Drosophila melanogaster: one gene and its partners. The protein of the gene in region 1 purifies or fractionates together with the protein of each later gene. This does not show direct contact. Each region holds a gene or a part of one and is shown in the gene's direction. Other genes may lie near its edges.

Evidence for each region. The genes of interacting proteins can lie anywhere in the genome.
Region 2: the proteins of Slmap (region 1) and Cka purify together in Drosophila melanogaster (affinity purification with western blotting, with the first as the bait; one study listed by BioGRID). This does not show direct contact.
Region 3: the proteins of Slmap (region 1) and Fgop2 purify together in Drosophila melanogaster (affinity purification with western blotting; 3 studies listed by BioGRID, with this or other methods). This does not show direct contact.

The regions. Positions count from the first base shown.
Region 1 is NT_033779.5:22,577,484-22,585,086, forward strand, and holds the start of Slmap (sarcolemma associated protein), read left to right. Parts: upstream 1-1,588; 5' UTR 1,589-1,769; intron 1,770-2,266; exon of another isoform or gene 2,267-2,337; 5' UTR 2,338-2,357; coding exon 2,358-3,650; intron 3,651-6,638; coding exon 6,639-7,199; intron 7,200-7,258; coding exon 7,259-7,603.
Region 2 is NT_033779.5:8,029,126-8,033,766, forward strand, and holds the start of Cka (connector of kinase to AP-1), read left to right. Parts: upstream 1-1,595; 5' UTR 1,596-1,714; exon of another isoform or gene 1,715-2,450; intron 2,451-2,934; 5' UTR 2,935-3,132; coding exon 3,133-3,516; intron 3,517-4,641. Other genes in the region: baf (barrier to autointegration factor), read left to right, coding at 483-608, 691-837.
Region 3 is NT_033779.5:6,942,632-6,946,873, reverse strand, and holds Fgop2 (fibroblast growth factor receptor 1 oncogene partner 2), read left to right. Parts: upstream 1-1,584; 5' UTR 1,585-1,740; intron 1,741-1,804; 5' UTR 1,805-1,877; coding exon 1,878-2,825; 3' UTR 2,826-3,696; downstream 3,697-4,242. Other genes in the region: ihog (interference hedgehog), read left to right, coding at 1-1,121.

The DNA.
Region 1 (7,603 bases):
AGCGTTTCCGACCATATAAAGTGTAAATATTCTAGATCAGGATCAATAGCCGAGTCTATCTGGCCTCTCTCCGTATGAACGTCGAGATCCCAGGAATTTTAAAAAGCTAGAACACAGAAAAAGACGCAGCGCAAGTTGGTTGACCCATGTTGCCACGCACACAAACCTGCCAGCCCCACTCTAACGCCCTAAAACCTCCCAAAAATGCCGCGCAAAACACACATTTTTAAACCTTTTTTCGATATTTTTTTCATAATTCTATTAGTCGCTAAAATTTATATCGATATGCCAAAAACTTTTTACACGCCTACTCTAACGACCAAAAGCCGTCAACCCGGTCACGCCCACAATTTTGAACAATTTGTAAACTTTAACCGTTGCATGCTCTAAAGGTTAAAGTATTGCCTTCAAATCCTCGAAAATGAATATTTTATTCGATATTTACGGCAATAACCAACCCTTTGAGAGTGTTCAGTCAAAGACACTACAATAATTCTTTATTATTCTAGAGACTTTGGTTCAGTAGAACAGTTGCGATAGCAACCTTTGTAATCAAAAATCGTTTCAGCAGGTAAAACGCGCCATTCCAACTGGATTTTCTATACATATATATTTTATTTTCTATAACCTATTTCTATTGTTTCAAACTATATGGGCGTTCATCAATTACTGTGCGGATTAAGTTTGCAATGTTTTCAGAAAAATAAGTTGTTTCGTCGAAATCCGAATCCGCGCAAGTCTGAGCCAATGTAGTAGCGTAGAGCACTTGTTTTCGATTCGTCAACGTTTCATTATTTTGTCAATAAATGACAGAATTGACTGCTGTTGCCTTTGTGGCAATTCACTGACTGTTAAATTAATATGTATCCTCATTACGTGGCAAGACAAGTTAGTATTATTCGCACTTGTTTGGTGTCTTGCCCCACTTAATACATTTGTCTGTCTTGCCATTAGCCGATTAGCTTAGCAAGATCTTTCCCTGCAAATGGTGATGGGTAAAACAGAAAAATCTAACATCGATGTCCGAAAATTTCGATGTTTCCGATTTTTTTTTAAATATCTATGTAGCGCTATCTCCGATGTTTCTTCCAGCTCTATTTTGTAGTTTGCGAGATCACAGCCTTCAGTCAGACAGACCGGACCTGATCGAATAGTGTTTATGATCAGGAGTACACTATACTTTAAGGTTCGGAAACACATTTTTATGCCGACTACAAACATACCCTTAACCTTTCTAGCATACGACATTGCTCTAAAACATTTTAAAATTCCGAAATCTCCTTTCTTATTATAACAATTTTAGAAAATTATTTGTTTCTTTTTATTGGAAATGTAATTGCAGAACATTTGTATGCCGACTACAAACATACTCTTAACCTTTCTAGCATACGACATTGCTCTAAAACATTTTAAAATTCTTAAATCTTATTTCTTATAAAAATTTTAGAAAATTATTGTTTGTATTTATTGGAAATGAAATTGCAGAATGGAATGGTTCTATCGTTGCATGTCAACATAGAAACTGGTATATGGTATATAAACTGGTATATTGTATATTATTATATACAATAATGCTTAGCGCTTTTTTCATCGTTCCGTGTTCATCACCAGTTGATTGTCGCTATTTTGACGGAAATATTTTAAGTATGCACACAAATTTACCGCGAAACCAGGTGTTTTTGTACAACAATTGTTCAAAGTTAAAGAAAACTAAAAAACACGGGTAGAAGGTTGCAACAATTAATACAGGAAAATTACAAAATTCCAAGGTAAGCCAAGCGTGCATTGTAAAATAAAGGTAAAAACGTTGCGCAATATCAAACATTTATATTATTGCGAATTTAATGTTCTTGAACTTAAGCGGTCCTCCCCGTACCATATAATTTATTTTTAAATCAAAAAAGTAAACAATTTCCAACCGTTCCAAACATTTTTAATGCCTGGTTTAAGTTGTCGTAATTAATCGGCACATCCTTAACTCGAAAATTGCTTAATTCATAAGAATGACCAACTAATGGCATAGTTTTTTGTTTACAATAATTCTTGAAAACATTGCTATTGAACGTACATATTTTTGTATCAAATGCAAATTCATTCTGTATGTATGTATGTATGTATGTATGCATTTACATATGTGTGTATATCTTATGTGGTCGGAAACCTTTTCAAATTTTCATCGGGAAAAGACAAATTTTATAGTTACATTAAATTAAAGCAGGCCTTTAAAATTTGGATTCATTGTCAATGTTTCGGCTAGTCGGATTTGTCAAACAGCAGCCACTCGTGTATTACTAATTACTAACTTGTTAATCCGCTTTTGTTCTCGTATCCCCAAAGGTTTGTTTGGATGTAAAGTAATGGTCTTGGTGTGCAATGAGTGGTTAAAAAATAATGTTGATGAAGACCAGACGTCAAGTTCATTATCGCCGACGCCAGCATCAGGAGCAGTCGGATCAACGGCATTAAACAGAACTGGCACAACCGACACGGCCACGGAATTACCTCAGACGACCAGATATCCATCCGGGGAAGAACCTGCTGTGAAGCCAGAGGAGGCGCAATACGCTTTAAACATGGAAACTGAAAAAAATTTGGAGCAGGACAATTTCTTTCATATAATGGACATAAAAGAAGATATGGCTGATAGTAACAACGAGGCGTCCACGAAGAACCAGGAAAATAATAATATGGAACTTTGTGATTCCAACACAGTATGTATTGACCGACGTCCGGCTGAAGTTTCCCAGCATGCTATGAATATGGCCATGAACTCTGTGCTGAATGCAAATAACACCGGGGTTGGAGTTCGAGTAACTACTGCCTGCAGTCTGTTTAGCCCACTAGGAGTACTAAACAATAGTGCTTTACAAAGGGAGGTGGCATCGGAATGCGGCACTTTACAAGTCTCTTCAGTGCCCCCAACTTCTGGCGTAGATCTAGACATAGGATTGGAGTCTGCCCCAACGCCATGTAAGGGTGCAGCAAAAATCGTACTCCTATGTGAACCAAAGTCGCACAAGTTTGAAACGAGATCTATATTGCTGCAGCCCAACCAGGATTGCAAGGTGGGCCGCCTTATAGCTAAAAGTAAGGCGGGTGAGGGGAACGCTATATTTGACTGTAAAGTATTGTCAAGAAACCATGCGATTTTGTGGTACACTCCAGACGGTAAATTCTGGGTCAAAGACACAAAATCCAGCAACGGTACCTTTATTAACGACAACAAGTTGGGTAGTGATCCAGCGGAACTACATTATGGCGATATTGTGAAGTTCGGCGTTGAGGTAATTGAGAATTCACGTCAGGAGGTACACGGGTGTATCCTGGCCCGTGTCGCCCTCTTTCTACCCAATGGACAAGAGGCCATTTCAGTTGAGGCAGAGCAGATGATGTTGACTGTGCCTAACCGAATCAGCTTTGATGAAGTGCAGCGCCTAAGCTCGTTCCTCCAAGAGGCTGCACAAAGGGAAAAATCTCTGAAAGCTAAATTAAGCAGCTTGCAAGGCGTCCTTGATAACACCAGAAAGAACTCTGCGATGTGTTGGCAAAGCATGATCACTGAAGACCAATTGCTTCACAAGATAAATATTCTGGAAAAGAAACTGCAAATGATGGAAAAGAACATTCCAGAGAATGCACTGCGAAACGAGGTAAGTCCCATTAGCGACCGATTAAAAAATTAAGCCTTTGTTTATTTTTTACAATTTTATCCTGTGATCCTGGACAACTATGAAAGCAAGAATACTGGTATTAAGCATGAAACTAAGCAAAACCTCAAAAACCTTTCACACGAACAATTAAAAAAGTTTGTTCATAAATACGTACACACCTTTCCGTTAGCCTGTATAACGGAATCTCTAAAAAACCATTTTTGCACACTTGTGTTTTCCTTTTAATTTAAAGATTTCAATATGCAAATTTTTAATAAATCTGTTTCCCAAACCGGACAAGATAAAATAAATTGAACCAAATCTTATAATGAATTGTCTTAACTACAAACATAATCAAAATGTTTAATGCACAAAAATTAAGCAAATCTGAATCTAAGCAATTTAATTCGGTCCCATCAAATTATATCTAGTGGTTGTGCCTTTAAAACAAAGCAGTATATAATGGCTTTAGAGTTTCATTTTGTTATTCATTCATTGATTCCTTCATTTTTATTATTTGAATACGCATTAATTATAATCATTTGTATAAGGTGTATTGTATTTTAATTGTGAGCAAATGGTATTTTGGTGCCACCGATTGGTGCCAGTGGAGTAATTTGTTATACATATTTTGTAAACGTTACTTTTTATTTGTTTCTAATTTTTAGGTTAAAGTATATTTTCTCTTTTTTTCTCAGTTTTTATATAACAGAAAAAATAAATCCTTAAACAAATTGTGCTTTGCTGACCCAATCCTCACATTTGATACGAACAGATCATTGCTATTATTTTTGTACAAAATAAGGGACTCCTATTTGATACCAAAAGCTGTTTCCCACCCCACACTTTCTAATTTACAGAATTAAAAGAGTTATATTCTAATGTATATACAGTTTGTCAAGAAACTGTTTACACACTGTGAAATAAGTTGAATTTTTGACTTTAAAGCTAAAAATAAAGGGTTTTTTGCTTAATTAAACGCAATTTTTTTATAAAATATAATTAAACAATATTTATTTTACTTATAAATCAAAAAACAAATTAAAAATATTAAATATACAAGAAAATAAACAACAAATTCCAAGTTTACACACTTTTGAGACTGTCAAGAAACTCTTTACACATTTTGTTTTCCTACTTTGTTTTGTTCTTTTTCTTAGAACGAACTCGATTTTTCCGTTATTTTTGGCTTTGCATTGCTTTTTACAACGCTTCTATTGAAATTTTGTTGACTTTGCTTGTGAAATTTTGCTGATCAAACGTGCTTAAAGCGAATTATTAAATTTAATAAAATGCCTGGAAAGAGATTAACTTTTAAAGTTACCCAATTAATAAACTATAACCACCAGTTGGGAAAATCTTTTCCAGAATTAGTATAAATGTTTCCTGTATCCCGTAAGACCGTCTACAATGTTTTAAAAGGCTCGGAAAAAGAGGGCAGGCTTGAACCTAAGAGTGGTGGTGGGCGGAAAATTAAAATTAAAAAGCGTGTAGACCGCTTTATTATGCGAATAGTGATTGCGAACCCCCGAATCTCGGTCAGATCACTTGCTCTGGATATCAGGCAAGAATGTCACCTAGCTGTGTCACACGAAACTGTGCTCCAAGTCATCCTACGCCATAGGTACTCTTCAAGAGTTGCAAGGAAAAACCCTTTGCTGTCAGATGCCAATATTGAAAAGCGTCATTTATTCGCTGTGAGCATGATAGATCATGCGGAAGAGTACTGGGATGACGTCATATTTGGTGACGAAACAAAAATGATGCTCTTTTATAACGACGGGCCAAGCAGAGTATGGCGCAAACCGTTGAGTGCGCTAGAAAAACAAAATATCATTCCAACGATAAAATTTGGAAAAATGTCACTGATGGTGTGGGGCTGTATCACCAGCCGTGGAGTGGGAAAACTAGCCTTAATTGAGAGCACAATAAATGCCGTGCAATATCTAGAAATGTTAGAAAACAAATTTGAAGGCCAGTGTAGAAAAAATTAGTCTGGTTAGCAACAACAAGCCAAATTTTAAGTTTTACCAAGACATGATCAGAAACATAAAGAGTGCAATGTACGCACCTGGCGCCTTAATAACTGTGGTAAAGTGATCGATACGCCCCCTCAGAGTCCTGATCTGAACCCCATTGAAAATTTGTGGACCTACTTAAAGAAGAAGGTGGCAAAAAGGGACCTAAAACACAACAACAGCTTATGACTGTAATAGTCGAAGAGTGTGAAAAGATCCCGTTTGAATATGACCTGCAAAAACTTGTCCAATCCATGAAAAAAAGGCTTCAACTTGTAGCTAAAGCCAATGGGGAACATACTACATACCAAAACTTTTAAAATTTTAATAAAATAATTAAAAAATTTAGGATTAAACTTCGATTTAGTGTTTTGTGTAAAGAGTTTCTTGACAGTCTCAAAAGTGTGTAAACTTGGAATTTGTTGTTTATTTTCTTGTATATTTAATATTTTTAATTTGTTTTTTGATTTATAAGTAAAATAAATATTGTTTAATAATATTTTATAAAAAAATTGCGTTTAATTAAGCAAAAAACCCTTTATTTTTAGCTTTAAAGTCAAAAAGTCAACTTATTTTACAGTGTGTAAACAGTTTCTTGACAAACTGTACATACATGTGCTCTAGGGCTCTAAAACAAAGAACTCATACAGAACGGTAAAAATACAGATAGGCAAGCAAATTGAGACCATACGAATATGCGATTTTAAACTTGTGCGTGAAATAAGACAAAACAACAAAAAGGTACCGAATACAGGAAATATTCTATAGCTCGAAAATTCAACCTTTTAGCTTTTTGAAAGAAATTAATATACCCTTATAAATGGGTTTAAAAAACTCGAAGAGGACCTTTTTCCGACTTAATGGTCAGTAGCTCCTTTGAATATTAAAATTTTGTCTGCAAAAAATTTTAAGTATATTTTGGTAAAATTTGATTTTTTTTTTTTAATATTTCTCTCTTTGTCTTCAATAGATTGTAAAGCTTCTTGAGGACAAAACAACGTACCAGTTGACTGCCAAAGAGGCCCTGCGGAAGGTCTACCAGGAACGCTGCGATGCTATGCAAATGCTCTCTAAGATGGAGATGGCCTACGCCACTTCTGAAAACGAGTGCGGCATACTTCGCGCTCAAGTTCTAACACTAAAGCAGACGCTGACTGATTTCAATACCCGGTTAGAGGAACTTCAGCAGGAGTACATGGAATTCAAGAAGGAGTCAGTGCGCCAAGAACAAGAGGCTAAAGAGCAAGAATCACGCAGCTTAGAGGTGCTAAATGGAAAGCTGACGACGCAGGAGCTCGAGCTTAAGGAGCTTCGTCTGCAGGTCTCGCGAATCCATCGCGATTTATCTGAGTCTGATACTGAACATTTGAAGGAGCGAATTGTCTTAAAAAACTTAGATACAATAAATCTTGACGATTATGACCACGCTCAAGATAGAGCGCTAAATGAAAGGGATGATAATGAAAGTTCTGACGATGATATTTTGTCTGTGTCACCAGCTAAAAATGTGTTGTCTGAAACGAAAAAAAGGGTAATGCTTATAGCAGTCTTAATGCTATTATATATTAATATATTCCTATTTAATTCTAGAAGCTAAAACTAAGTAATCCCGATTTAGAAGAAGGCAATTATAAATCGAACGTCTTAAGATTGCTAAAGAACTCCGATCTTGGCAAGGGAGAAGAAGGATCTTCAGTGCTTAAAGCTATTTTTAATGGTGACGATGAAGCCTTTGAATGCAAAGTTAAGGAGGAGGAGGATATGGCAAACGATTCAGTTCCAACAGAGTTCGTTAGCAGAAATACATCCGAAATCGTGGATCACTTTAAAAACCATTCTTCAACTACACATACAATTTTAGAGGATTCGGCTGCAACGAAATTGTCAGCCCCTAATGCGGAAAGTAAGGAAAAGCTTGTAGACGTTGAGGAAAAT
Region 2 (4,641 bases), about 15 Mb from region 1:
ACTTTAATGCACTAACATTATAACAAATTTCAAATTTATAGAAAACTTTAAGTATTCAAAATCTAAAACGGTCATGTAAAATACCATACATCAAACCATGTAAGCATACATCTTACATGTAAAATATTGCTGGCATTTGACCTAAGTAGATTAAGTAGATTACAAAAATATGTAATCCGCAATTTCAAAGAAACATTTTTGAGTGCATCTTATAAAACTCTATTTTTTGCCAATGCTATGTAAAAGAATAATTAAACTTTGTTAATTGTTGGGTGCGCAAATGAGTAAAGCCAGAATTACGTGGCCTATTACATTGCCTAATTTTGTTTAGTATATCTAGATGTGTTGTTGCATTTTCGAAAATATCACTTGCTGCCACACTGGCTGTGCGTCATTTTCAGAAACGCCGCGAATATTTTGCCATTGAAATCTAGCTAAGCATTGGAATTTCGCAACGTGCAGCAGCAAAGCAAACTACAAACATGTCGGGCACATCGCAGAAACACAGGAACTTCGTTGCGGAGCCAATGGGCAACAAGTCGGTGACGGAACTGGCCGGAATTGGGGAAACCCTCGGTGGACGCTTGAAGGACGCTGGATTCGATATGGTGCGTGTGTAAATACGATGACGCCATGTGCGCAAATAAACAATGCCAGTCAAGTGCTAACGATCATTTCCATTCGTTTTAGGCCTACACCGTTTTGGGACAGTATCTGGTGCTGAAAAAGGACGAGGAGCTGTTCAAGGACTGGATGAAGGAGGTGTGCCACGCCAGCTCCAAACAGGCATCCGATTGCTACAACTGTCTCAACGATTGGTGCGAGGAGTTCTTGTAAGAGGTGGACACACAAGCCATCCGAGTAATTCGATCAAAAGGAATCTGCTAAAGGCATCGGCCAATCATTTTTATTCGCAGTCAACGAAAGTGGCCCAATGCTAGCTAAGCATTTGCCGTGTTCACTGTTAGTATGTATAGCTGTAGGGTGTAATTTAATGTCTAATCCGAATAAATGTACAGTCATGGAAACGATCCTGCATTTGGATCTCTGTTCTGCGAAAAGTACAGTAGGTGTAAAACATTTGTTGCTGGCCGGCGAAGCAGCCTAATGCAGATTTTTATTAATTTGATTAGGGGACAACAATAAGCAACACTATAGAAGGCAGATCGGTTGGCGACTATATCTTCTCTATGTTTTCGATTGTTGGCGAGTAGGAGTCTCTGACTCGCTGAAATAAGCCTCTGTCTTTTTGATGTTTCTTTATCAGCGGGCTGATGTCGCCTAATTTTGAAATCTATTTCTTTTTGTTTTTCGGAAATGATCTTTTATAATGATGGACTTAGAACCTTTTAAATCCCAATCGCTGTTTTGTTTGGGGATTATGTGTAAGCGGTTAATATATATTTTATAATGAAACCCCTTTTGTCAAAATTAATTGTCCTCGAGTAATTAATTAGTACCGAGTATTTGATTATAAATACAACTTTTTTTAAATAAAAATATATATTTTTAAAAACTTATTTTTAAAGTGAGTGGTATTAAATAGGATTTCTTTTCCCTGAAGTGGTATCATATGGTATTTATTTTTGGTCCCGTGGTATTTTTTATCGTTATCGGCGCGGTCACGCTGCTAAGAATTACATTACGCGTGAATACCAATGAAAATTAAGAGAGAAATTGCAAAACACAGCCAAGCGGTGCAATAAATCGCAAAGTAAGAGGCGCAAAACGCGCAAATACCGTTTGCGCGGTTAAAAAATGCAAAAACACCAAACGATAGATTAAACAAAGTGAAATTAACTCGGCTTTGGCATATGCGAACACCAGTGTGCCAGTGTGTGTGTGTTTTTCTTTGTATATAGACTCGCAGAGCGAGACGGCCATACACGACGGCAGACGGGACGGTGCAGGTGCGCGAGTGCGAGCGGGAAAAAGGCTGTGCGGTCACTGCTACTCTGTGTGTTATTTCAGAGTTACAGGCCAAACATTCTGATGTGCGGCCGAATCAAATCGACTTTTTGTGTGCATCGCCCCAGCGTTCGTCTTAATTAATTAGTGATTGCAAGCGGGTGCAATTATGCACAAAATTACGGACTAATACAACTGCCCGCTTCGCGCTCTCTCCATCTCCCTTCCAAATAGTCGTTTGCTCTTCGCACACAAAAGTGTAAACCCTGTGAAAGGTAGCAACAACGTTTCCTTGGAAAAAGCTGTAAATAGTAAACAAAATTGTCAAGTTAACGAGCCAAAGTTATTAAATAAGGTTCGAGTACGTTGGCATCGGCTGCCCAGGCAGCAAAGAAAAACAAAGACGCAGTTCAAGATTCAGCTGGACACTTAGAAGAGTTTAAGAATTGAAGCACAAAAAAACGAAGAGAAACAAGAACCCCACCAAAAACCCCGCCGTGCGTTTGTATGTGTGTGTGCCATTCAAATTTCCCTGCAGCTGGGTGAGTGTGCGTGTGTGTGTGTGTGTCAGTTTAATTTTCCTACCAATAATCGCCTTTCCAAGACGTGATTACCAGCCGATCCACCGCTTAAATTGATAAACGTTTTAACTCTTGCGTTACATCAGCTGTTTTACGGCTTTTTGTGCTATAAGTTACGCTTTTCCCGTAAGCCGTTGGCAACACTAGAACGCAAAAGAGAGAATCGCGAGTACCGTAAAGAGGAAGAGAGAGAGATAGAGAGTGTGAGCGTGTGAGAGAGCGGGGAATGTGGGGGCGGTTCCGGTGCGAGAAAACGTAGTGTAGTACATAAAGAGAGTGCGAACGAGAGGGAGGCAGCCAGCGAGTGTCCTGCGACTGCTCCCCCCTTTACCCTCGTCGCCCTTCTATTCGGAAAATTCAATGACCTCATTTGTTTCATGTGCCGAACTTTGCTTTTCTTTCCCAACCTAAAAACGCAAAAAAAAAAAAACGTAACACCAAACAGGATATAGCGTAGGACCAGTGAACAAACAAGTCCGAGAGAGCGACAAACAAAGGACCGTGCACTGGGCACCTGAAGGCAGACAGCTGGCAACGAATCAGGAGAGGATCAGGAGAGCAGGATCAGCGGGCACAAGGATCACCGGAGCAGGCAAAGGAAACACCTGGCACACAGCACAGCCACTGAGAGCGACGTGAACCAATGGGCACCAATTCGGGAGCCACCGCTGGCATAAACAACAAGCCGGTTGGCGGTGCAACAGGAGCCGGCGTCCTTGTAGGCGGCGGTGTGGGCGGTGCCAATTCCTCGATCGGCGGTGTCCTGTCGAACAGCCTGGGCGGTGGCGGCAGCGGCGGTCTGAGCATCAGCGGCCTCAACGCTGGTGGACAGAACGCCAATGTGGGCGGAATGGGCAACGTTGGCGGCGACGACGGCGGAAACGGGATGGTGGGCGGCGGTGTAAATAACCAGCAGGCCACAACGCCCCAATACACAATACCGGGCATCTTGCACTTCATCCAGCACGAGTGGTCGCGCTTCGAGCTGGAGCGATCACAGTGGGACGTGGACAGGGCCGAATTGCAGGTGAGTGATCCTTAAATACTGAATTGCTAATAGCTCCTCTTTAATATTCGATTAATCTCGTACTTTGAGATAGGTGAATCAGAAAATCAGCTTAAGATCTTAACAATGTCCTTATTATTAGTTTGAACATTGATTTAGTTCTCATCCTCCACTATTTTATTCACTATTGATTAAGTAGGTACTGGACTCACGGACTACAGTAAACTTTATAGCGTGAACTTTGTGCAGATAGTGACAGTATAGTGCTTAGTATAAAAGAACCAATGAAACTGCAAATTGTTTGTCCTAGAAAGAATACTATGCAACCAAAAGCAAGGCAATTTGGCAAGGCCCAGGGAGTGCTTAAAAGGTCCTTGCTTATCGACAGCGGTGGCTCACTTTCCATTTCAATGATTTTCCGAGGCGCTAATGCATGAACATGCAAGGAAAACGGCCAGGAGGAGCCACCACACCGCCTTGCCTCCGCCATGTCCGCATGCAAGCGAATCGAGTTGAGCAATTGCCGTCATCGAGTGTTTATGCTCTGTTTGTCGCAGACGAATGGCCAAAAAGCCTGAAAGCCCCCAAAAAATGTAAAATGAGTGTAACCGCGGGTTGGATAACATTATCGTAATTTCGAAGGAGATTACTCCACCTCCAACCTGCGCCACCCTGCGCCTCCATGGCCATCGTCAATGTCAATGTCGACCCACGCTCTATCGCTTTCACCTGCCAAGTGGCCAGATAACGAGCGGTATCGATAACGAGGCACAGTCCGTTACGCTCTGAATGCAACGTGACATTCAAATCCGTCTCTTCCCCTGCTTTGCATCATCATAATGTGGAAAAGTGGCCACAAAAAAAAAGGAACCAAGTTGACAACGCAAATTTGTCGCCGCGATTTATGAACCTGTTCGCCTTGTTTGGCGTTTTTGGCCAAAATAAATCTGGTTCGGGTGGGCAGCAGAGGCAGAGGCGACGCCATCCGAGATGGCTCTGTTTCAGCAGTCGTAGCATCCGTTCCCTGCCCGGCCGCCTGGATCTATTTATATACTTCCATATGCACATCGCAAATCTCTTTGTGTGTCAGTGCCGACTGCTGTGAATGCAGCAACGTCCTTGTCGCAACGAATCTCAGTTTTGCCG
Region 3 (4,242 bases), about 16 Mb from region 1:
CCAACGATAATATACCGTATGGAAAACCGAAGTGGAACTCCGAGCTGGGCAAGAGCTTCACGGCTTCGGTGACGGACCTGAAGCCTCAGCACACCTATCGTTTCCGCATCCTAGCCGTTTACTCCAACAATGACAATAAGGAAAGTAATACCTCGGCGAAATTTTACCTGCAGCCAGGTGCAGCACTTGATCCGATGCCGGTGCCAGAGCTTCTGGAGATCGAGGAATACTCTGAAACCGCTGTGGTGCTGCACTGGAGTCTAGCCAGCGATGCGGATGAACACCTGATCACTGGCTACTACGCCTACTATCGACCCTCGTCCTCGGCAGGGGAATATTTCAAGGCAACCATTGAAGGAGCCCATGCTAGAAGCTTTAAAATAGCACCCCTCGAGACGGCCACCATGTACGAGTTCAAGTTGCAGTCCTTCAGTGCCGCCTCTGCATCCGAATTTAGTGCCCTTAAGCAGGGGCGCACCCAACGTCCCAAAACCAGCACCACAGAGGAGCCAACACTGCAAATGGGCGACCGCGATACAACAACTCCCAGTCATAACGAGACATTCAATATGAGTCCCATGCTGACGGGAACAATCGGCGGCGGGGCAGTGCTCATTCTGCTTCTGATTAGCACCTGTTTCTGTGTTTGCCGGCGTAGGAATTCCAGAAGCCGGGGAAACAATCCAAACAAGCCACGGATGGCGGAGCTGAGAGATGACTTTGTGCCGCTGGGCAACTGCTCGCCCACCAAGCAGCGCCAGCGAACACGACACATCCACATAACCTTGAATCCACTCGCCCAGCAGCAGCAGCAGGCGCTGGAGGAGAAGAATGACACAGACCAGGATGCGCCCTATTATCAGCGGCCGTCGAGCTATGACTACGATCCCACGCTGCGCAGGATGTCCTCCTCCTCGCTGCGTCGCTCACAACGCACGCTGGAACGTGCTGGCGGCAGCAATGGCTCCAACAACGGCAACAACAACAATCTAAATCAATCCGCAGAGGCGGGTTCCATCGAAAATCCCGGCAAGCCGGGTCGTGTACTCATGAAACGCCCCCGTCTGTCCAGTCGCTCCGAGAACCTCTCCTCCGGCAGCCTCAACAGCGTTGGCGTGTAATCGCAATCTCGTGATCTTTAGTCTGTGCATCCCTACGCCCGATGTACCATGCTATTCCTCTACCTCTGTTTTATCTACCACTTTGAATGACAAAACCTTTGCTGTTTGTACTTAAATAGGTACTTAAATAGACATAACTAGATTTATGTATGCATGATCGTTTAAGAACATAGCATTATGTCCATTCTACGCTAAGTCTTCCATTTTTCGCGATAAGATCAAAATCTGTACTGATAGCTTCTTAATGACCTATACAAAAATGACAATAAAGCTTGTAGCTTCACCTTTTAACCTTAAAAGAGTTTTTTAACATAAACATAAAGGATTTAGCCAAAAAAATGACATCTCAAGCTAAAAGTTAAAAAACAAAATTATAATTTAAATCTTTGGTATATTTGCGGTATATCAAGTGTTGAAACAGTATTTTTTCGCATTCAATGAGTGGCGTTAGGGATTTGTGCAACATCCGATGGCGTTTGGGATTTAATAAGCTGTCAGCCAATAATTGGGTCGTCGTCAAAATTTCTATTAAAATCGTTTCTATTCCTACATATTTTGGCCGGAAAATCAAATGAAGCTGTTACGCTAGGGACGAAGCTGCACCTTACCCGCACCGAACGTAAGACACTGCTCGTAGGCCCCAGAAAGTGCACAAATTTAAGCGGTTCCCTTTGTTTTCGCAGTGCCAGCAGCAGAGGGCCTGGCCCCCGAAAACAATACAAATCCAAAAATCGCAACTGGACTGAATTGGGCAGGATGTCGAACCTATCCGTGGGCCAGATTATAATGGATGCGCAGCGCATGGCCAGTCGGGTGAAGGACCTGGACGCCCTGGGCACGGCGCTGCTCGAGGAGGCGGAGAACAACAATCGGCTGGTGGAGAGCCTTCGCCAGTATCAGGACGACATTGAATCACTCAACCGCATTTCGAACAACAAGACCAACGCGGACATGGTGAATCGCATTCAGCAGCAAAACATCAACAGCTCGGAGATACTCAAAGAGAATCGCGAGCTAAAGATCTTCATTGAGGACTACGAGCGTGCCATGGAGCTGATGATGCAAAAGTATCGCGAGCACACCGTCTCCAAGGTCCTGGATAGCAAGTTTAGCTTTAAGGAGCTGTACAACGAACGCATGTGGCAGGTGATCCGGGAGCAGCGCGAGAAGATCAACGAAATGGCAGCAGTGATGCAGCTAGCTGCAAGTGTAGATGACGGTGTCGTGCAGCGAGAGCTGCAGACCATATCCCAGCTGCGTCTGGAGAACGAAACGCTGCGCGAGCTGCTGCAAATCTCCAAGCAGTACGGCTCCTCGCAGCGACCGATTCGTGAGAGCGACCACCTGCTGGAGGAGAAGGCTGTGCAAACGGACAGTACGGCGGACGACTCCGCCGACGATCTGTCCATATCGGGCGCCTCGGTGGAAAACATGAACAACAACTCGGTTATCCAGATGTACAGCAGTCCGGAGCAACCGGCTAAAGTCGCCGGCACCACGAACTCATTTAACACTGCACCAGTGCATAGTCAAAGTGAAACACAAGCACCAAGTGTGACATTGGAGACGGCGCCGCCGGGGGAAGAGCCGCTGGCGAATGATAACAATAACGGACCTGCAGTCAACACAACCAGTGCACCGCCGCCAGCGACGACGTCTAACGAATCTGTCGAGGATCAGGCGACAGTAGCGCCCGCAACATGATAGGTGCTGCTGTGCAACGTTGTTGATTCGTTTGGTCTTCATTTGAATCGTATTTACTCACCCACTCACAAAACAGGCCGCGCACGAAGAGGGCCCACATAACCTGCATTAGCTCTTAGCGATTGATAATCTCTAAGTAATTTATACATAATACGAATTTCAACATATTGTCCATACGCATTGAGAACAATGAAGTTTATTATTTAAAACGAGGTAAACACACTCACACCCACACAAATGTAATGTACAATGTACCCTGTCGATTTTATGGTTTGCTAAATAAATTCCAATACAAATCGGGGAATAACCAAAGGAATGAGCATATTTAATTTAACATACAAATGTATTTCAGTAGTGTATTTAAATAAGATGTAACTTTGCTTTAGATTGCTACTCCGTAAGCTAACTAATTCTTAAGTTATTTCCCAAAAGATGTTACGAGTAGAATCCCATCTATTATGCGCCCCTCCCATGAATTTGAATATTTTTGTTAGAAGGCTTTTTAAATTTGGCCATTCTAAATCCCAGCCAAACAGAGAAGCGGTTAAATAATTCATTGGATATGACTCATTGCTTATCGAGTAAGGCTGATCAGAACTTGATATACACACATACTTGTGTGGAGTTTAAATATGAATAAAGTATAGCCACTAAAATTAACATTTGCCACAATGGTTATCAATGGTTATCGAGCAGAAGATTTATGATATAGTCATGTTAATTTTCAAAAAGTCAACTTATTACACAATGAACCAAGTTGAACAGAATCTGCCATGAGAAAAAAAAACAGCAGTAATAACTATAATTTTAGAAGCTTAAGATTCCAAAGGCAAAATATTGGGGTTTAAAAAATTTTAAATAATTTCATTATTGTATTGTTTAAGTTTAATTTGGTTATTAATCAATATGGAAAATTAGGAAAACCAATTTTTTGAATAGATATTATTGAAGTAATTATTATTATTATTAGTTACAGTGTTTTTTTTCTTTAATTCTATCAAATACATTTTTGTAATTTTGATAAATATGGAACCTGAAGTGTAAAAGTAATATTATATGGATACCCGTAAAGATTTATGGCTGAAACTTTCAATTGGCTTGGACTTGAATATTTTTGAATAATTTTCGAATCGCTCTCATCGATTCTCTGCGCCAAAATATCGGTTCTCTTGAGGAAAACACTTTTCTCGCACGACTGGTAGGTAGTTGAAGCTTTCAGAAATAATTTAAATTTAGTTTCTCGTCGATTTTCAACGCGTTCGCAGCCGAAAAAAAAGTGCCAAGGAACTGCGCCCGGTTCGCATGGCAGCCATCTATATAAGTATTTCGAGTGCTCGGGCAATCGACGGTTATATTAAAGCTATATAAATATATAGGCACATACGTGCTTGGCCTTTGTACATGAATGTGAATCGGG